Tamandua tetradactyla: one gene and its partners. The protein of the gene in region 1 interacts with the protein of each later gene in a pairwise test. Links are inferred from orthologs where the notes say so. Each region holds a gene or a part of one and is shown in the gene's direction. Other genes may lie near its edges.

The links.
Region 2: the proteins of ITSN2 (region 1) and SOS1 interact in a two-hybrid assay, tested with the Homo sapiens proteins (2 studies listed by BioGRID and IntAct). The link is inferred for Tamandua tetradactyla from reciprocal best matches to the Homo sapiens genes ITSN2 and SOS1.
Region 3: the proteins of ITSN2 (region 1) and WAS interact in a two-hybrid assay, tested with the Homo sapiens proteins (2 studies listed by BioGRID). The link is inferred for Tamandua tetradactyla from reciprocal best matches to the Homo sapiens genes ITSN2 and WAS.

Annotation. Positions count from the first base shown.
Region 1 is NC_135329.1:7,615,283-7,622,424, reverse strand, and holds the start of ITSN2 (intersectin-2), read left to right. Parts: upstream 1-4,124; 5' UTR 4,125-4,345; intron 4,346-4,608; exon of another isoform or gene 4,609-4,731; intron 4,732-7,142.
Region 2 is NC_135343.1:10,348,680-10,355,867, reverse strand, and holds the start of SOS1 (son of sevenless homolog 1), read left to right. Parts: upstream 1-4,168; 5' UTR 4,169-4,211; coding exon 4,212-4,298; intron 4,299-7,188.
Region 3 is NC_135353.1:121,599,792-121,607,488, reverse strand, and holds the start of WAS (actin nucleation-promoting factor WAS), read left to right. Parts: upstream 1-4,677; 5' UTR 4,678-4,784; intron 4,785-7,697. UniProt on the Homo sapiens protein: Effector protein for Rho-type GTPases that regulates actin filament reorganization via its interaction with the Arp2/3 complex. Important for efficient actin polymerization. Possible regulator of lymphocyte and platelet function.

The DNA of each region.
Region 1 (7,142 bases):
CTCTTTCTTCATAACCACCAAAGTTAGACGACCACAAACAGAACTTTACCCTGTTTCCCAGGACTTTTTTGTGAGGATTTAATAAAATAACAAAAGTATTCTGTCCAGTGTAAAGTGCTCCATAAATATTAGTTGGGTTATTACAAGAAGGGAACTAGTACCACACTATGTTTGTGCTGGAGACAGTAACAATGAACCTAAATAGACAGCCGGGCAAATCAGCCAGACAGGAAATATGTCTGACTCCTGAATACAGGCTGGATTCCCTTTTGCTGAGCTACACCTGCCAGACTGGAAGCCCCTCATGCTTCTGTCATGAATGAGCATGTCCTGTCCAGGGCCTCGCCCTAGTCTGGCCCTTGGTTCCACCCTACTGTGCTGGACCAGAGCCAAGTCTGGGCTAATTTCCCCCTCCAGCTGGCCTGGTACTGCCTTTCCGGGATCATCGGGCCTCAAGCCAGAGTCTCAAACTATGTATTACACAAGTGGCCCAATAATGAGAATGCTCCTTCCTTCCCTTCTAAGACTGGGAATTTCCCTTCCCTCCTCTTTCCCTTTAAATCATTCCAACTCCTACTTCTCTGTTTCTCATCGGCCTCAAAGCTCCAGAATAGGATCTGTAAAGTCATGAAGCTGAGAAAAGAGGGCAGAGATGCATTTGTTCCATTGACTGTTTCTCTGAATCAAGTCTCAGCAGCTCCCCACCAGTGCTCACTCCTTGTTTCCACTAGCTGGGACATAAAAGGTTCTTAATAAACATTCACTGAATAAAAATAAATATCAAATTAATGAAATGATAAATACATGTCTAATGAAGTCTCCAGACTTTCTCTTGACCCTGAACCATAATCCTTGGCCTGCTTTTTTATTGCCTTTATGATCAAATTCTACAGCAGCCTAAAACTTGTTTCCCAGACTGACTGACATTATGCACAAAGGAGGATCATCATCATCACAGATATTTTTTCTTTTGAGTTCTGGGAGGAAAAAGAAACTGAAAAAGGGACAGACCTCACTTTTATTTTTTAAAAGGTACACAATTACTGTGTCAGTACAAAAATGTGTTTTGTATTTGCATTGTGCTTAGGAATGGTATGGGGAGATTGTGGAGTTGTGTTTTCTTTCATTGGAGACTAGAAGAGACATCCTGGCTAGAAAGCACAGTTGCTAATAGCAGTGGGCAGGGTTAGGGGCTGACTGACTCCTACTAAAGATAGAAGATAAAAGCACAGCTTTAAACGTGGCAGATTCCCACCGTTCACCACTCCTATCTCCGTGCCTTATAGATGAGGTAGAGCCAGGTTTCTCTGGGATTCCACGGTGGGAGCACTGCCACACTGCTGGAGCATACCGCCTATAAGTCCCAGATGACAGCAAACAGTCAAGCATGCATACAGTTGGTTTACCAGAAAGAGAGTAAAGAATAGGCTGTAATAAATATTTGAAGAAATGATGGCCAAGATTTTTCTTAATTTGAGGCAAGAGAAATGTGTAGATGCAAGATTCTAAATGAACACCAAGCAGCATAAAAACATTAAAAAGTCCATGCAGAGGCATCTAGTTGAATTATTGAAAGCCAAAGACAAAGAGCGAATCTTGAGAGCAGCAACAGAAAAGTGACATATTACATATGATAATTCGCTCAATAGCTGACTTCTCAGCAGAAAGCATGGAAGCCAGAAGAGAATGGAATAGCATCTTTAAAATGCGAAAAGCGGGAGTGGGGTGGGGTGGGGTGGGTGGGTCCCGGAGATGTACAAGGACTGGTGTAAATCACAGATACAGTTCTAAGGCCAGTTTTACGCAGTTAAGGGGGACTGGAATGGTGGATATAACAGAGGGCACTTGGGTGGACTGTTCCAGGTGCTGAAATTCTTGGTGAATGTATGATATGGGGGAAGTTGGTAAATGATAGGAATGAGGATAGAAAAGGATGAGGATAGAGAATAGTATGGTTTCAGTTGTTCTTATAATCCTCAAAGGAGAAGGGACTTTGTGTGCAAATTGAAAAACAGTGATCTGGAAGCAAGAAGAACAAGAAGATGTTTCTTGGTCCCTTCCAAGGTCTGTCTTCCTACTAATATTCCCTTCTGTATGGTGATGATAGAACTACCACTACCCAGATCTACTCTGAAACCTGAGATTTCTTTACTCCTTCTCCTCCCTTATTACTTACGTCCAGTCACCAAGTGCTTAATAGTGCTAAATTCCTTCCTGAAGTGCACGGGGAGGGAGGTATATTTGAGAGGGGATAGAGAATCGAAGCTTCTTGCATTTTGTGTTGTGAGGGTTCCGAATGGAACTCCGGTATTTGGCTGTTTTAGTTCGTGGGATAATGTAGGCTCCCAGTTGGATACAGGACCCGGATTTCCACCAGAGGTTATTTCCTTATTTTAGGGAGATGGTCTGTGTTTCCTCTTAGTCACAAATATCCCTTTTCAGAACCTCCACTTTCGTCCTGCTGAGGATTTGGCAGCACCTCCTTCAGAGAGAAAGGGAATTCAGGGTGAATTGCACCAGGTCCAGAACCCAGAAACAGAAATGGCTTTTAAATGATGGGAGGAAAACAGAGACTAGCTATCTGCTGATCAGGATGAAACATAGATTTCATCCTAACAGGCCAACTCTGATAACTTCGTAGCAGCTCTCTGGAACACCAGAGCGCTACATTGAGAAGGATTTCAAGGCTTAGACTTGAGTACAAGCTCTGAAAGAGGGTACCACAATTGACTGGTGATGTGTGCCATGAGAGTGACACCCTATGCTCAAGAGTGCTCTCCTTAGCCTGGGTGGTTTGTTTACAGACAGGTTGCTTGGTCCCCAGCAAGTAAGGGACTTCCTAAACTAATACAAAAGAGCAAGGCTTCTCTGTGTCACTGAAGCTTAGGACCTACCTTTCAAGTCCTGGCCAGGCCCTGATTGAAACACAGCATCTGAGAGCAGGAAAAGGCTGTTTATCATTCCGGATGTTTGTGAAATTTCTCACATGAGTTGGCTGGGCAGTTGATATAAGTCTGGGCTTTGGAGCTATCCCTCTGAAGTCACCTTGCTACCTTCACCTGCCCAAAAGGTAAGAAATGATAGGAAGCCATAGGATCAGTATGAGTTGTTTAGATTTCTCTTGGACAGATGTCATCATGGACATACAAGTTTTGTACACTGGACCAGCCCCCATCCTGCCTCTAAAGTCAAACAAAACTCTTCCATCTTAGGTCTCCTCTTTGCTATGCCCAAAGGAATCACTGACTCCTCCTCACACTCCTTAACCAACAGAAACCTTTTCTTTGAAGGAGTGCTGTGTTGAGGGCAAGCCCCTTGGTATAGGGTGGAAAGGGAGTTGAAGCCTGATTTTTTTCTTTTTTTTGACAAGATCAGGGGTTGGAAGGGGCGAAAAAAGATTCTGAGCTTGAGCTTCACCTGTTCATCAGCTATGGAGTGGGAAAGAATATTCAGTTTCGGCAGGCCTGCAGATGGGAGTTTGGGGAGAGAGAATGTGAGAGTATACGAGGGGAGCTGCTCTTCTGCATGAAAGGGGGCAGGGAGCCCTCCGTGGTCTGGTGGTCGCATATGCTATGGAGGAGGGAGAGGAATGCTGAATGGATGGCTTTTGGGTATCCGGAGTCCCTGAGGAGGTGAGAGAGGCCAGTAACAGATCCGTGAAGAAGGGTGGGAACCTTCTTCCCAGCCCCCATCCCAGGGAATCCGCGCTCCCAGATCATGGAAGAACCTTCAGTGAGAGAGAAGGTCCCCGAGGGAGCCCTATCTGGGGTGCAATAGGGCTGCGCCCGATCCCGCCTGGTCCTTTCCCAAACCCGGGGGTCTGCCGTAGCAGGAAGCGCACCACCCAAGCTCAGCATGTCACCTTGGGGAGGAGGAGCCAGGTGGGTCGTCGCAGCTCCGGGAAGGGCTGCCAGGGCCGGGGCTTCGGGGTCTCCCCGAGGGGAGAGCAGCGCCCTCCGGGTCCAGGCCCGCTTGGTCCGGTGCCCCGGGGCTCTGGGGGGAGGCGCCTGGCCCAGGCCAATTTCGGGCTGCCAAGAGTGGGAGAGTCCGTGCCCGCGCCGGCGGGCGGGCCGTCCGCGGCCCGGCCCGTCGCCTACCTCCCCGCCCCCCGGCTTCCTGCGGAGGCCGCGGCCGCCATGTTGTTGTGGGGCTGAGGCGGCGCCGGCGGAGCCCAGCGGCCGTGACCGGCTGCGCAACAGGTTCGCTGTCGGCATCCTAGCGAGAGGGCGGGCGGCGGCGGCAGCGGCCCAGCAGGGTCTCCCGGCCCCGACCCGCGCGGGCTCTGCGGGTGCTGAGGAGCGCGGGGTCGCGCTGTGACGTGCAGGAGGCGCGGCGGGGGCGCCAGGTGGGTGAAGCCGCGCGCGCGGGCGGCCGCAGGGCGCGGGGCAGGTGCGGGCGGCGCAGCGCCGGCCGCCCGGGAGGCTGCCAGGGCCGAGCCGTGCGTCGCTGACGCCGAGTCGGGTCGCGGGGCGACCTGGCGTCCCCCGAGCTAGGCCCCTGGGGCTTGGGCGCGCCGGGCGGAAACCTCCAGCCCCGGTTCCTGTTCCCGTGGCGGGGCCGGGGCGGGCGCCGAGCCGGCCGCGGCCTCTTCTGGCAGGTGGCGGATGCCGCCGAGGGCGCGGGGCGGCGTGGCCCCCTCGCTTTCGGGGTGCGGGCGAACGAGAGCCCGGACCCGTTTTATTATCGTGGAGTTGGTTTTTCTCCTCGGTAATGGTTGGTGTGAAATGTCAGGTGAGCCGCATCCCGGTGCGTCAAAGTGGTCCGAGTCACGGACGGATGCCCGGCGTCCACGGCTCGCATTAAACCGAAGTTGGGAAATGTTAAAATTTGACTTCCAGGGTACACAGGAAGCGCGGAGAGATGTAATTTCTTAGGCCAGAGTAAAGTTTATTGGTTATTTAAAAGAAAAAAAAAAGACTCCTGCATGTGCATAGTGCATGGGTAAATCAAGACTGAAAGCGCCGATGGCTCTACACTCTGTAGAAAGGTGCAGTATTTGAATTTATTGATCATGTTCTTTATCGTTGGATGATTGCCGAAGGTAAATATGCCTTCCTTGAAATTTGTATTAATTACGAATTGAGAATCTGTTTGCTAGAGCTAACCGCTTTATGATAGGAGCTGTGGTCAACACAAAAATTATTGCTTTACTAAATCCTTCTAGTTTGTTTTTACTAGTATTTACTTACTTACCCAGAAACGGGCATGGTGGAACTTGAAATTTTGTGGTGTTGTATTTAGGTTAATTTGGGTAGCAGAGCCTCAATAGGTTAAGCGGCTTAAGTCTTTAGGAAAAGTAAGTTCCTTCCTCCCTGTCCAGGTTTGCTATTTTGTTAATCAGTGTTAAAATCTAAAAGCAAGCTGCAAACATCACATAAAACCTTTGCCCAAATTAATAATGTTATCCCTCAAATTTAAATATAGTAACAACTCTGATGGGCTCACCTTTAGGTTTCTTTGGCTGTGGGCACAATTCCCTTATAATTTTAAAAGTAAAAAAGTCATTTTTAAAAGCTTAATTTAGAAGCGAACAGTATTTCATGTGTTTGAAGGACTTAAGAACGATGTGCATTGCTGTTGTTTTAATGTAACGTTAATAAGCAGCTGAAAAGCTTGTATTCCCCACCCCCACCCCCTTTAATGAAGGTGATTATTCTCTTTCCTGGCGTTTATATGAAGGTTAGAATGGTCTGAGAAAACTTGACCCATTCTGAATAATTGAACAGGAAGGCACCGTTGTTCTGCATATCTCAAGCCTAAAATCTTGATGTCTTCTGAATATGAGGAAATGTTTTTGGAATGTTCTAAGGATTGGATTTGTAGTTTAAGAAATTTCATAAATATAGGCTAGTATAAGGAGCCTGTTTATATCCATCAACCAGTTTCAGTAGTTTGCAAGCCTTTCTTTATCTAGGCTTTTTTCTTTCTTTCCTACCTTTATTTCTGTTTTAGCCATGTCACCCTCCATACCTAGTATTTTTCTCTCTGAAAAAGAAAAGTGAAATTTCTTACATAACCTCAAGGATTTTTAGTTTTAATTTATTTTTAAACTTCCAAATTCCATCTTTCTGGCAAGACCAAAAGAACATTTATTGCTTAACTCCTTCAGTATTAAAATATATTTACCATGCTTGTCATTTACTGAGCACTTACTACATGCTAGGCCCTGTGTATGCAAAGTGCATAATTATTTAATGCTCACAGAGCTCATAGTTACTGTCTTCACCATCCAAAAGATAAGGGAAATGAGGTGCTAGGAGATTATTTGACTATTCTAGCTCTTGAACCTAGTAAATACTGGAGCCAGGTTCAAACCCAGGCCTTTCTGACTTTAGGGCCTGTACTTTCTTACAGGGTGTGATCATCTTGGTTCAGAATTTTAAAAAAGTTTTATTGGATTCAATAAATAATTGTTGAGTGATGAAAGTCCGTAATTGATAAGTACCTAGCATTTTTATATACTGTATTTAGTAGCAAAACATTTGTATTAACAAGCTCCAGAAATGATTCAGAATAAGCTATTTGCATTACTAAAAATGTGTATATTTAATTACCATCTAACAGTGATTTTGCTTTTTCTTTTGTATTTTGTTTTTTCAGCACCTTATTTATGGAAAAATCTGATTGTGGAAAAACTAATTTTGGAGAAAAGCTAAAAGGAAAAAGAGCCTTTTGTGTGTGTGTGTGTGTGTGTGTGTGTGCACGCTAATTAAAGGCAGGATTCCAAGTGTGACTTGGAAAAATAAGAATATCTAGAATAAATCCTGTAAATGCATCAGAAATGCTGTATTTTTTTTTTTTTTTGGCTTATGTTCACTCTTAGCTATATACTGTCCTATAACTACAGAGCACAGAAACTAATGTTAGAATCCCATTGGGTAACTTGTGTGTATTCATATCCTTGAGAAGGGGAACCTGAACTAGTCTTAATATGAAAGCAGAGAGGAAGTGGTGGAAGAGGGGAGGAAACTGAGCAGAAATAAGACGTTGAATAAATCAAGAAATCATGTATTTTCCTAAGTCTTAAGAGGGCAGCATTTTTCATTTGCAGATATCCCATATTATTTTGAGGGATTCATTTCAAAAGTAATTTCACAGCTACATCAGGACACTGAGTGATTTAGTTACGTAGGTGTGGAGCC
Region 2 (7,188 bases), on another chromosome or scaffold:
CTGCCCATACTGACGGGTCTCAAAGGAGAAAGGACTGGCCCAGGGGGTGTCGGCGTCCCAACACCCTGAGAGAGTCTTCGGAGCTCTTACGAGCCGGGGCTCGTCTTCCCAGGGGACGTCTCACCCTGGTTTGCGATTTTCAGGACCTGAAAATCCGGAGGGAAACGATTTTCGGAGGGTAATTTACGGACAGGCTCTCTCCGAACGGTGAGACCCGGCAGCAGGGCTAGGAGGGAAGGGGCTTACCCGATCTGTGGTGGATGCAGTGGCGGCCGAGGGATTCCCTGGTCGCTGGATATGTGGAGGAAAGAGGAGAGAGGAGGCCGGGTCGCCCCTGGCCAGGCGGGCAGCACCCGCACTCTTCTCCCGGGTTTTGGGTACCAAAATGTAAGGTTAAGGAGGCGAAAAGAGAGAAGAGACGGACCAAGAAACTTTAAAGTGAGCGAGTTTATTCTGCGCTCCCGGGCAGAGCTCACAGAGCGTAAGGTAGGGAGTTGTGAGTTTGCCGCTGGGTCCTGGTGCGGGCGGGTTTTAAGCAAGGGGGTTAGGTGACGTCTAGAAGGGGCGGCACATTTTACACAGCTCCAGTCTTGGTGACCCCTGTTCCCCCGACCTAACAACCGTGTATGGTGGGAGAGGGTTAGGTGGGGCTGTGGCGCGTGGGGTTGGAGAAAAATGGGTCTGAGCAGTCCGGGCAGATGGAACGGTGTATGAAAAAGACAGAAGCAGAAAAGAGATGGATGTGTAGGAGCCAACAGGTTGCTCATTTCCAGTGGGAGATACAGTTGGAAAGACAAGTGTTGGCCCGAGCGTTCAAGGCCATGAATTCCAGGCTAAGGACTCTGGACTGTTGAAGAGCCAGTGGAGGCTCTTGAACAGGAGAGTAACGGGTTCTGAAGGATGCTTCAGGAAGAAGAGTGCGGTCACTGCACGGGAGGGAACCGCGCAGCGCGGTCCAGGCCAGCCGCGTGCGGTAAAGCGCCGAGTGCGCCCTTCCGCCTGCAGGGGGCGAGCTGTGGAGCCAAACGCTTTCCCCGCCCCCTTCCTCAGTGTCCCGGTTCCGACTTGCACGCTCGAAGTTCGGCTAAACCTCCTGGACGCGCCCTCTTCGGGCCTCGGCTAGTCCGCCTGGATTCACTCCCGGGCGTCCCGTCCGCTTTGGCGCGGGGCTCTTGGGTCTGAAGAGGGGCGTGAGCCGCAGCCTCGGCGCCTGCGCCGTGGCGCCGCAGTTGGCTGGTGAGGCTGACGGTAGGGGGCTTCCGCGCCACGGCGGTGCTGACTGGTCTCACGTCCGTAGGTGTTTTGTTTTGTCCCAAGAAAACGAGAAATAGGCGAACAGTGCGGAGGAGCTGGAGTGCTCCCTGACTTTAACGGCGCCGAGCCTGGCCCCACTGCCCCCTTGTCTTTCAGCTGAGAAGCAATGGGTGTCTTCACCGCAAATTTCCTCCAGCTATTTGCTCTCAGCCTGCGGCCTAAATATCCATACTAGTGAAAACCTGCCCCGGTCTCTGAGCTTGTCCAGTCCAGGCTGAAATCCGTAGTTTTGGAGCTGGTTTCCCTCTGCGATAAAATCAGAGACTCGGAGTTGGGGAGCCAGTGGGTGAGAGGCATTTTCCGAGATTTTCAAGTCCAACCTCTTAGCCCTTCTCGATATACCGCGTGAGTGAATGTGTAGTTGTAAACCTCCGACGACTCCCCGTTTATGTAGTCTTCTTCTTGGAAGTTTCCTCCATACAACTTTCACCCTTTCAAAAATATTTATTGAGCACCTACTATGTGCCAGGCACCGTAGATCTTGGGAGTGCAATGCCTACTATACACACACGATTGCTGATCCGCTTGGTGTTTACATTTCAGGGGGAGGGGAGAGAAGTGACAATAACCAAAAAATAGGCTGTGATAATAGGGCTAGCAAGGAAATAAATAGGGTTTATTGTAGAAAAAAATAAGCAGGAACTATTTAGAGTGATCAGAGGAGGTGTCTTCGGATGTGAGGTTTAAAACTAGCCAAGTGCACAGCTAGGAGCAATGAGTTCCAAGCTGAGGAGAGAGCAAAGCCCTAGAGGCAGGGAAGAGGTTCGTGTTTTCTCGGAGTGGATGAAAGGCCGGTGTGACTGAGTGGGATAGTCAAGGTTGAGAAAGTAAGCAGGAGCCAGATGCACGACTTTGTGGGCCATAGTACCTTGGAGATGTAATCTCAGAGCAACGGGAAGCCCAAGGAAGAGTTCATGGCAGAAGAGTGAGCTTAGATCAGTCGTTTAGAACCATACAAACCAATTAGTTTTTCATATCATAGTCCTTTAGGTATTTGAAGATGGCTGACATGGTATCCTCTGAGACCCCTGCTTGTGCCTCCAATTCCTCTCCAAGCTAAGGTTTCTTTACTCCTTATTCAGAGGGTTTATGGACAGATTTCAAAATGTTATTTTGGCCCCTTTGAAAGTGTGGGAACATTTTAAACATGTAAATCATGTGTGACCACTTTAAAAGGAAAGGACCAAGACTTATTTCAGATCCACGAAGAGGTCCTTTAAAGATTAAGAGCCACTGCTTAAGCATTTTTCATCAATGTGATCCTGGCAATTCTCAGAGATAGAGTAAATGTCACCTTCAACCCGACTCCTTCTCTAAATGAGATCTCATCTGTGAAACGAGAACAGTAGGGTTGCTATGAGGATTAAATAGGATAGTGCTCAAAATGTGTTTAATGATAAATCATGAGACGGTTACAGAGTGCCACTGTTATAAACAAATATTTGCATGCTAGGATGGGGAGGCAATTTAGAGATCATGCTCCTTTAGCATTCCACAAACATCTACCACGAGGCTATTCTGTGTAGAGCTCCTGGTGAAAAAGATCTGCTCTTCCAGGAGTTTATTATCTAGTCTAAAGAGTAAAGATACAAAATACTATAGACTAAATGTCCTGAGAGGAGCATGAGTAAAGTGCTCCCGGAGCTGCAGAACAGGTCTGTTTCCACTGAAGGTGAGAGATTATTGGAGAAGTGCATATTTGAAATGGGTTTGAAAGATGAAATGACTGAATCTGAAAACACATAACAGAAACTCAATACTACGTGTCCACATTTTGTCCTGTAGGTATGTGGAAAGACCGACTGGAAACACTGCAATCATTTCTACCACCCCACGAACATTGAACACTTTGTTCTCGTGAGAAGGGATCCTATCTTTTGTCCAGTCTGTTTACTATATCGTACATGTTCTGGGCAGTCCTTATCTTCACGGTCGGGGACAAAGTACACATACGCTAAAACCTCGGAACGAAACGAAAGGCCCAGATCTCTCCAACACCCAATGGGGGCCGCTTCACCGTAGGTCGCCGCCGCCCCCTGGCTCCCCACCGCCGCAGGGCCGCAGTCCGCCCGGGGTCGGACTTCTTGGGGACCCAATCTGCCTGGGGTCGGAATTCTTGGGGCCTCTCCGCCCCTCCCCGGCAGCCCCCTGGGCTGCAGCGGCAGCACAGCCCGGAGCCCTCCCTCCTCCGCACTTCCCTCGGCCTTCACTGGAGAGGCCGAAAACCCGGAGCGAATCGACCCAGCCCGGCGGCGCATGCTCAGTGGTGAGCAGGTTCAGTTCGCAAGTAGGAAGCTCGAGGAGCGTTACACCGGTGTCGGCGGCGGCGGCGGCGGCACCACCTCACTGCGGCCGGATTCCCCAACAGCGATCCAAGGCCCTTCCCCTCCCCCGCTAGACCCCGGCCCCAGCTCCGCCCCGCCCGGGGCCTTGCGCGTTTCGGGGTCCCAGCTGCTCGCAGTGGGAGCCTCGGCCTGAGCGTCCTTCCACACACCCTCCCCCTCGCCGCCGGCTCCGCCGCTGGGCCAGGCCGGGCCCAGGAGCGCCGCCCCGGCGGGCAAGCGTCGGTCGCTGCGGAGGGCAGCCCGGGGCGGCGCCGGCGGGCTGGGGAGGGGTGGGGGGGCTCGGCCCTGGGGCGGTGGTGCGGCATGCCGCCGCCTCCGGGCTGCCTTCACTCTCCTCGGCTAGTGCCAGTGTCGGGTAGGTGGCCGCGCGCGGGCCTCGGCCCCCAGCCGGGCCGTCAGGGCTAGCCGGGCCGCGCGGCGCCCCGAGGGGGCCGGGCTGTCCCGCGGGGTCGCGGCCTTGCTCGGCGCGGCGAGCTCGCCCTCTCCCTCCGCGGTCTGGTCGCCGCCGCCGCCGCCGCCCCCCTCCCAGCCCAGAGGCGCCCGGGGGGCACCATGCAGGCGCAGCAGCTGCCGTACGAGTTTTTCAGCGAGGAGAACGCGCCCAAGTGGCGGGGTCTGCTGGTGCCTGCGCTGAAAAAGGTGAGGAGCGCGCGGGACCCCGCTTCCCAGCTGCATCCCCGGTGAGGTTGCCCGGCCGGGGCAGGGCTGGGGAGGCGGGGCGCGCTGGGCTGGCTTTCTTCCCGTTCTCACCGCCTCTCGGAAAGGACAGTGCGCACTGAGAGGGCCCCCCACACTCGGCTAGTCCTCGCCGTTGACGTTCGGCCGGTGTGTGGGAAGGCCGCAGGGCGCCACGGAGATTTCGTAGGAATCCTCCGACCGCTGAGAGATTAATGCCCTGCGCCTCGATTCGAAGGCTACAGTTGGAGGAGCCTCAGTTTTCCGTGGAGGTCAAAGCAGGCCAGTTTTCCTCCGTCTCCCCCTCACCCGGTAGCTGCTGTCAGCCTTCTGTTTTACTGGGCTCGAGAAGTGCTCTGGCCCTGATGCTTACTCTGATGGCACAGCTCGCCTGCCAGCAGGAGTGGGGACACGGCCTGCTCCGCTCGCCTTCAGTCTTCACTCCCCATTCTCCTGAATCCCCCACCCCTCGGGTCAACCCGGGCGCCTGCAAAGGCCACTCTTCAGATTTTTGTGGTCGTTGATTGTTCGAGAATCTTGGTACTAGTTTTTGGTTTGTCGATTGCAAGTGTTAACCTTTTATGTGCTTTTTCTTTTTTCTTTTCAAGTGTGCCACACTTATCTAAAGTTATCTAAAGTTATATCCTACGATCTGTTCTTTTAAATGTTTTCGTATACTCTGGTTTCTCTTCAGATCGTTTAAGTATTCTAGTATAATTAGGAAATGTTGCTAATTTTAAAAGTTTCCTTAAGCAATGTTGTCACTTTAAAAACACATATTCTATTAAAACCTCAGAAATTGGTGTATTTGAATGGATTTAAAAGCAACCAGAGTACTTTTTGTTTCCTTCATTTACCTTTTTATAAGTATAGAGATTATTTTCCTCTTTTAATAGTATTTCAAAACCCTAATTTTTTTTTTGCCCAAAGAATGTTTTGTGTTATCTGTTAAAAAAATATATATGTACATATTTGCTCCCACTGAGAATTAAGATTACAATGTTCCTTTTGTACTAAACATTTGTGCTTTTTAAAAAATGCATCTTAAAAGATGTCTGCTATTTCTCAAAGGCTAGAAACTTTTACTTTCCCTTTTGTCCTGTTCTTAACTGCCTTCCACCCTCCATCTCTAACTGTAGAAAAATATGCTCATATAGTTCAGATTTAAGTTGCCGCCCTTTTTTTTCAAGTTTGATTAGTCATAAATATTTCTGTGATTCTGTTTTCTAAGAAGACCAAGGAGTTGATTTACAGAATATATCTTTTATTCATTAGAAATACCATCAGGTTTTCACTTTATTTACGTTTGCTTTACCTGAAAGCTTGGCCTGATAGCTTACAACAGAAAAGGGAGTAGGAAAGGCTAGAAGATATTCTGACTGGGAGGTAGACAGAAAAACTGTTCAAAACATACAAAAAAAAAAAAAAACCTTAGAGAACATTAGCAATTTGGGGCTGTTTTGCTTTAGAAGGACACAACTCCTACTCCAAGGGAACCAAAGGGTCATATGGCAGGATAGAAAAAGCAGTGTAGAAATTGGCAGACCTGGTCTAACTGCTGTGCTGGTGGGCCTTGCTGAATTCTGTCTACAAGAACATTTCGTTTGGCTGTTATTATTTGTATGCTGTGTGGTGGGGGTCACATTTCATTCTTTTCCATGTGACTGTCCTGTCATTGCAGCACCAGTTGCTGAATGTTTTGTTTTGTTTTTCCAGGGTTCATGGGCTGGGAATCAAACCCTGGTCTTCTGCATGGTAGGCAGGAATTCTATCTCTGAAATACCAATTAGCTGTTATTTTCAAATGTAATTAGTTGCCAGTATTTAAAAATGGGAGCATATAAAATCTAAATTTTGAAACTTTCTTGACGAGCAGAAAGATCTCTCAGTGTTGGGTCTACATTCATGCAAGGAAGTATATGACTGGAAATTAGTAAATGGCTGCCCCCTTTAAATAGAACATTTATCTCCAATTACCACAGTCCCCACCAGTTCATCTGGCGTATTTACATAAACCAGTGTTTGACTTTTAGCAAAGATACGTAATAACAGTAGAAATGTTGGTGAACAGGTGTAAGTGTATACAATCTAGCTGATATGTAAGGTTCTTGGAATTTCTCATTCAGACACCAACTAACAATGATTCTAAGCCACTTAAGAAAAGATTGAAAGTATATTTCATATTTGGATGTGTTTTTCGGAACCCAAAACCTGCATTTTCACTTGCCTCCTGGATATTTCATTTGGATATTTTCACATCTTGAATTCATCCTTCTGACCTAACACAAGATGTGCCCAACTTGTGTTCTCTTACCTGAGACTGTTTGGACATGCTGTTCCCTTCACCTGAACTGCCCCTCTTTGCCTGGCCTAACATTGCTCCTCCTTCTGGACTCACGTTCAACTTGAGAGTTCTTAGGACTGAGTTGGATGTCCCTCCTCTTTTTTTTTCTTTTTTCTTTTAGCACCCTGCCCTAGCAGTTAACAGTGAATTTTAAGTTCCTATTTATTTCTGTCCCCCCAACTAGATAGGTTGCTCCTTTAAAACAGAAGCATCCTTTTATCCCCCATGTAAATATTGCCTGGCACTGTTTGGCACTCAGATTATTTGAATGAATGGGCAAAAGGATATTGTGTACTTGTACTTCTTTCATATCCTTTAAATGTAGTACTTTCCAAACTAAAGTCATCACCTCTTTCCCTTCCACTTACTCCCCCCACCCCCCCACCTTTTTTAGCATGGAATTGGTGGTGGTCACTGATGTAGCTTCATCCTGGTTTTCTGACTAGGTTGCCTACTATAACCTTTCATGTTCTTTATGCTTTAGCTAGGTAGGACTGACTGTTTTTTCTGT
Region 3 (7,697 bases), on another chromosome or scaffold:
ATCTATCTTTTTTTTGGGGGGGGGGGTGCATGGGCCAGGAATTGAGCCTGAGTCTCCCACATGGCAGGCGAGCATTCTACCACTGAACCACCCATGCACCCCCCCATCTCCCATGTACCCCCATCTATCTTTTTTTTCTAATTGAGAAATCTTCACACACATACATTCTACACATGGTGTACAATCGATGGCTCACAGTGTCATCACATAGTTGTGTATTCATTACCATGATCGGTTTTTAGAACATTTGCATCACTCCAGAAAATGAAATAAAAAGAAAAAAGAAAAAACTCACACATACCATACACCTTACCCCCTCTTTCATTGACAACTAGTGTTTCCAACCCCATCTTTGATAGTACCATTACTAATGAAGCAGAAAAAAGTTTCAAAAGGATAAATGCTTTTAAACATTGAAAATGTTTTTCAGTCATCAAAGATAATCAGAAAGAAAAATTCATCTTTAAAATATTTTGCTTTGATTGTAAAGGAAGACCATCATTGGCAATAAATAAATAAACATGTTTTTGAAGCTGCCTTGACCAGCTCTAACACAGGCCATGCTAACACCATGTCTACGTACATATTTATCATCCAATTCTTGGAAAGTTCCATTGATCATAAGATTATAAACACACATATTGTGTTTTCCCATAGTGGCCAAACTTAGCAAACCGCCACCAAAAAACCAACAAGAACAAACTTTCTCTTCAAGTTGCCTGTAAACAAGGTCTAAAGTGTGGTTGATGGTGGTGACAAAATTCTTATAATAAAGGGCAACTGACCTACAGTGTGAGCTACTTTTATTGGAGGGTTTTTTTTTTTTAGCATTTTAGTCTATTCAAATAGGCTAACTCATAAGCTAACAGTTTTCTTTTTCTTTCCTATTTTCTTTAATTGCATTTCTTTTGGGTGCATTTCCCCCAAAAGAGATTATATAGCTTATTGCATGTTTGGTTATACCATACTATATTCATTAGAGCAAGATTTATTTTGGGTGCATTTCCCCAAAAAGAGATTATATAGCTTATCGTATGTTTGGTTATACCATACTATAGCTATTAGAGCAAGATTTCCAACAAATTAATGCACCTTTCACCTCCCATAGCCTCTGAGTGGGGGTACTAAAATGAAATATATTTTAGGAATCCAGCCACCATTGAAAAGATCCAGTGATGAAGTGTCCACACTTCAACTGAACTTTTGCTTTGTTTTACCCATACACACCCCCAAATACCCACACACTTAAAATAACAACCTTCCTTAGCATCAGAGCTGATGTTTTCACATTGGATGCAGCACCTGTTATACAACTGGAGTTTGCAAGCTAACTAAGGGGAATTTGCTCAGCCTGGTGGAGGCAAGGAGCTCAGGGCTCAGGCCTCCTAAACCTTTGGTCACTATGTTAAATTATCAATGGTCTCCTTTCCTTCAGTATTTAACTGACTTAGGACAGTGAACTGGGGCCCCACTGCTTTATCTAAATCATATGTATCCATATCCTACAAATTATGTATTTATTTATGCATATTTGCATGTACTTTTATAAGGCAGGTTATATATATATATACATAATTTTCAAATTGTAAACGTCAAAACAGGTGACTGAAATGGTGCAACCTCTGTGGAAGGCAGTTTGGCGGTTCCTCAAAAAGCTGAATATAGAATTGCCATATGACCCAGCAATACCATTGCTAGCTATCTACTCAGAGGACATAAGGGCAAAGACACAAACGGACATTTGCACATCAATGTTTATAGCAGCATTATTTACAATTGCAAAGAGATGGAAACAGCCAAAATGTCCATCAACAGACGAGTGGCTAAACAAACTGTGGCATATACATACGATGGAATATTATGCAGCTTTAAGACAGAATAAACTTATGAAGCATGTAATAATATGGATGGACTTAGAGAACATTATGCTGAGTGAGTCTAGCCAAAAACTAAAGGACAAATATTGTATGGTCTCACTGATATGAACTGACATTAGTGATAAACTTGGAATATTTTGTTGGTAACAGAGACCATCAGGAGATAGAAATAGGGTAAGATATTGGGTAATTGGAGCTGAAGGGATACAGACTGTGCAACAGGACTGGATACAAAAACTCAGAAGTGGACAGCAAAATACTACCTAACTGTAATACAATTATGTTAAAACACTGAATGAAGCTGCATGTGAGAATGATAGAGGGAGGAGGGCTGGGGACATAAATGAAATCAGAAAGAAAGACAGATGTTAAAAATTGAGATGGTATAATCTAGGAATGCCTGGAGTGTATAATAACAGAGACTAAATGTACAATGTACAAATTTTAAAAATGTTTTTGCATGAGGAAGAACAAAAGAATGTCATTATTGCAGGGTGCTAAAAATAGATGATAATATTTTAAAATGTCACCTTATGTGTGAGACTAAAGCAAAAAATCCTTATTTGTTACAAAATTTATATTTTGACTAGTGCATTTCCTAATGTAACTTATGTAGATAGTTTGATTGAACACCATAAGTACTTGGAATCTCAGGTAGGACATGAGATTTTGTTGGTTTCTCCAGAGTGATGCCCTGATGAATCCCAGAGTGATTCGATCAATGAGTGGAAAAGTATTTGCAAAGCCCCCTTCGGAGAATGGTGAGAATGGGGAGAAATTCAACTTCCCCAAGCTGAATTCTTGATATTCTCACAAGCAGTGTGGACAACCAAAGCTATAGGCTGAGCCCCCAGGCTTGGGGGTTGTTCATATGAAATTTAATCCCACAAAGGATAGGTCAAGTCTACTTAAAATTTAGGCCTAAGAGTCACCCCCAGGAGAGCCTCTTTTGTTGCTCAGATGTGGCATCTCTCTCCAGCCAACATGACGAGCAGTCTCACCACCCTTCCCCTCTCTGCGTGGGACATGACTCCCAGGGGTGTGGACCTTCCTGGCAACGTGGGACAGAAATCCTAGAATGAGCTGAGACTCAGCATCAAGGGATTGAGAAAAACTCTAGAATGAACTGAGACTCAGCATCAAGAGATTGAGGAAACCTTCTCGACCAAAAGGGGGAAGAGTGAAATGAGACAAAGTGTCAATGGCTGAGAGATTCCAAACAGAGTTGAGAGGTTATCCTGGAGGTTATTCTTACGCATTAAGTACATATCATCTTGTTATTCAAGATGTAATGGAGAGGCTGGAGGGAACTGCCTGAAAATGTAGAGCTGTGTTCCAGTAGCCATGTTTCTTGAGGATGATTGAATAATGATATAGCTGTCACAATGTTACTGTGTGATTGTGAAAACCTTGTGTCTGATGCTCCTTTTATCTACCTTGTCAACAGTCAAGTAGAACATATGGAATAAAAATAAATAATAGGGGGAACAAATGCTAAAATAAATTTAGTTTGAAATGCTAGTGATAAATGTAAGCGAGGGGTAAAGGGTATAGTAGGTATAATCTTTTTTTTTCTGTTTTCTTTTTATTTCTTTTTCTATTGTCTTTTTTTTCTTTTTCTGAATTAATGCAAATGTTCCAAGAAATGATAAATATGCAACTAAGTGATGATATTGTGAATTACTGATTATATATGTTGATTTTTTGGTTTCTTAATTTTTTAATTAATAAATAAATTTGAAAAAGAAAAAATATTTACTGATCTCTAAATGTAACAATAAGTGCAACATAAAGACACTGATCATCTTGGACTGTAATCTGACAGCTCAACTGTACAGTTTCCATATTATTTACATTATGAATATTGTGACTGTGTTTACTGATGAGCTATCTCCTGTCTTAAATACTCATGAAACTACTTCTACATTTCATTTTCAAATCAAACAAAAGAAACAGTGAAAAAAAAAAACAGGTGACTGGCTATATCACCTGTGATGTGTATTAAATAACAGGAGTCAATCTCAGCAACCCTTCAGGTCTAACCAGGCAGGCCTAATGCTCCGAAACCATCGCTTGGCACATCAAAAACTGGAGCGTGTTTATTCTTTTAAATACACTCTGTCAAAGGCCCCTCCATTAGAGCGTTGAACTGCTGTACACTTTGTATCCCTTTGGGCCGTATCTTAGTCAACTAATATAATTTTACTACTTTGTATCCAAATACCACAGGATGCCTCACTGCATCTTTTTGGTGTTGGGAGAGCCAAGCGTCCCACTGCGGCAGAATTTAATTTTATTAAAACCACTTCTGAGAGTTGTCCTAAAATTCAAACCGAAGGCAACGCTTTTTGTTTTGAGCAAACCACAGAATAAATGAATGCAGGAACGACGGGGGAAGGCAGGAAAACCCTAAAGGGCTTGTTACAGAGTTGTAACAATTGAATCACCCAGGACACTAAGTGCCACGCCCCAGCGCGTGATCTCACTTAAACCCCAACAGAAAGCACCATGCTCATTCCTTTTACAGATGAACACAATGACAGCCCGAGGTGGTTTCAGAACCCACCACCCTTAATCTTCAAAACCCTGCCTCAGCGGACCCTAACACTGGTCTGGCATCTACTGCGCATGCCCCGATTCAGTGGCCAATAAGAGTCCGGCACCCAGGAGTGGAGGCGGGGCTATGTTATTCTCCCAGAGCCCTGAGGCTTCAAAGCACAGCAAGGAGGGGAATTCGTTCACCGACCAATCAGAGCCCACGTCAGTCCCCGATCTGCTCGCACCCTGAGCCAATTGCCTGCTCCGGTGTGGCAAGAGCTTGTTCGAAATTACGGAAGCGAGGGGTGGGCGGTGAACGAAGTTAATTAAGATGGCGGATATGAGAGAGGCTGCGGGCCTGAAAGTGAGGTCCGCTCTAGGCGGGTGGGTGTCGGGAGGAATTGGGAGGCTTGGGACGAGTAAGATTGTGACATTCTCCTCTCCGTTTGGAGCTTGGGCCTGGCTTCTTGTTGGGATGAGGCAGCCTTTAGTAATCCAGCCCCGCAGAATAAAAGTGGTATGTTACAAGATGGCCGCCACCACCCAGTGCTAGGATCGTAGGCTGACTGTTTCATTCTTACTCCCGGGTGATCCGTCCCAGGCTGCGGACTTTACGCAATCTGGGGAGTGGGTCCCCTTGGGGTCAACACAGCCCTGGGGTCCCCTAACTGGTGTGTGGACAGTCCTGTGATCATACCAACTGAAAGGAGTGGACATTCCTAGAGCTACAAAGATTGGGATGCAGGGAGGAAGCACCCATCCAGGGAGAGTTGGGGGTGACTTTGAGAGTGTGGACAATGTAGGGACTGGGGGGAGGGGGGAGGGAACTCTGGACCCCCAGCTGATCCAGGTTAGCAGCCATACCGTAGAGCTATTGTCTAGCACAGTGTTTTCCTGTACGGGAGTGGGAAACCTGGTGGGTGGGACCTCTGAGGTTGGCCGGGAGGGCTCCAGGGCCATCTCACAGCACTGCAGGAATCTGGCCGGGTCCCACCAAGTGGACCTCTGAGATGGGCTTTGCAGCAGAGAAAGTAAAGAAAGGGCAGTGGGAAAGTGGTCGTGTATTCTGGGTCTTTGACCATCCAGGAAGGAGAAGGGTGAAGAAGAACTCGAGAGAACAGGGCGTGAATGCTAGGCTAAAGGGATAATATTTCATTTATCTAGGTTGCCCAGCTAATTCATAAAAACAGTAACAATAACGCATAATTATAATATGTCAAGCTCTGCCCTAATCACTTTCTATGAATTCTCATTTAATCTTTACAACAACCCTAACCACCATTGTTATATTCCCTTTGTGGGTGAGAGAACTGAGGCATTTGAGAGGTTGCCAGAAGTTACACAGCTGGTAAATGGCCAGCAGTAAAGCCAGGCTAAAAGGCTCAGTAGGGTTCTGACCACTGAGCCCTTCTTATCTCTACAGATGTCTCTGCTTTTCTGTGCACACCCTATACTCACCCCACCCCCACCAGGACTAAAAATCAGCTGCTCTCATAAGGGCCCTTAAAGAACCCATTTTTCCATAGTGAACAGTGTAGAGCCTTTATGGGAGGGGGTTAGGCCCTCAGCGTTCTGAGTTATTTTTCTTCTCCCTTTTCCCAGGGGATACCAGAGAGGCAGTGGTAAAGAGAGGATGAGTTTAGCTTTGTGGGAAGAGGATGGTATATTCACAGCATAGATATCTGGACTATAATTATTTATTCAGCAAATATTGATTTACCCTCTACCACTGCATGCAGGGTCTTGTGCGAGGTGATGAGGATACTGCAATGAACAAGACAGACAAGGATCCTGTTCCTACCTGCCCTTGGGATGTATTTTGGGAATCCTGGGGACATTTGTGGTTCTCACTGTGTCAGGGGTGCTTCTGGCATTGAGTCGGCAGGGACCTGCAAGGCTAGGGGACAGTCCCACAATACAAAGACTTACAACATCCATACATGTCATTTTAGGATGCTGAATGCAAACACTTATTAAAACGGAGCATCGGGTCTGAGGGTTGGGAGCTATTGTTTTCTTAGGTTGGGCCTGTCCCTAGGAAGCACCCCTCAGGGGTATGGAGGGCCATGAGGGGTGGGAAGGTGAGGGGAGAAGGATGGCATTGCAATATCAATTTTGCGGTCCTGGCCTCTATCTTGATCTTAAAGGACAGCAGTTGGACCCTCCCCATGCCTAGATCTCCTCCATGGACTCCATGTGGTGGTGACCAGCATGTGGAAAACAACCCGGGATCATAATACTGACTGTGTCTTACTCGTCACAGGGCTTGAGGCATGGAAATGGGAATTGCATAGGCAGTAATCTCCCCAAAGAAAGCAAACTAAGCAAAGATATGAACAGGAAATGATTCTCAATTTGGTACCCTTTGAGGCAGGCGTAGATGATGGGGGAGCAATGGGTGGGTGTAAATTATTGGGCATACACTGGTATTTGGGGGTTTGTAGGTGTTCATAATATTATAAGAAGTGAATTAGACTTTCTGCTTCCAGCTGTTTTGGGCTGCCTGTATTGTATCAGACCAACTCTCCTGGTGAAAGCAATCAGAAAAGTTGGATTAAGGTTCGTTTTTTAACCTATTTGAAAGCATGGGAGAGCAAATTATCTTTGAGGTCATCACCTCACCGAATGCTATCCAGTGCCAAAAAGCACTGTTTAATGGAGACGTATAAACCAGCTCCAATTTATTAATGCAGGTTGACAGAGTAATTAATACTATATTATAATATGAACAATGATACTAAATTCAAAAATTGCTGTATTACAGAGTGGGGAAACTCGTTTTATTAAGGACCCAAATAACAAAATCTGCTTTAGGATTTTTATTTAAAGAAAAAGATATAAGCCTGTTTGCTACTTAGAAATACAAACAGGAAATATGCAACTTTCAAGAGTGACATGCAACTTTTAAATATTAATTTTAAAAAATAGCACATGTAGCAGAGGTTTAGGGTTCCCTGATGTAGAGCTATAGGGACACATCTGGGGGCCAAGAAAGGAGTAGGAAGGTGGAGAACAAAAGACATAAAAAAGAAGCAGAATTTTATCTTGGCCGCCATATGGCACCTAACAGTTTAGGAACTGTTGACCTCTACTCTCCTGCTTACAAGCTATGTGTTGTTGGGCAAGTTGTCTAAACTTCTCTGGTTCTCAGCTTCCCTATCCCCTATGGGGATAACAGTAGTGCTTCCTTCATGAGGTTGTCTGTGCATATTATATGAGTTGATAAATGTAAGGCCCTTGGAAGACATAGCAGCAAACACTAAGTAAAATTAGACATTATTA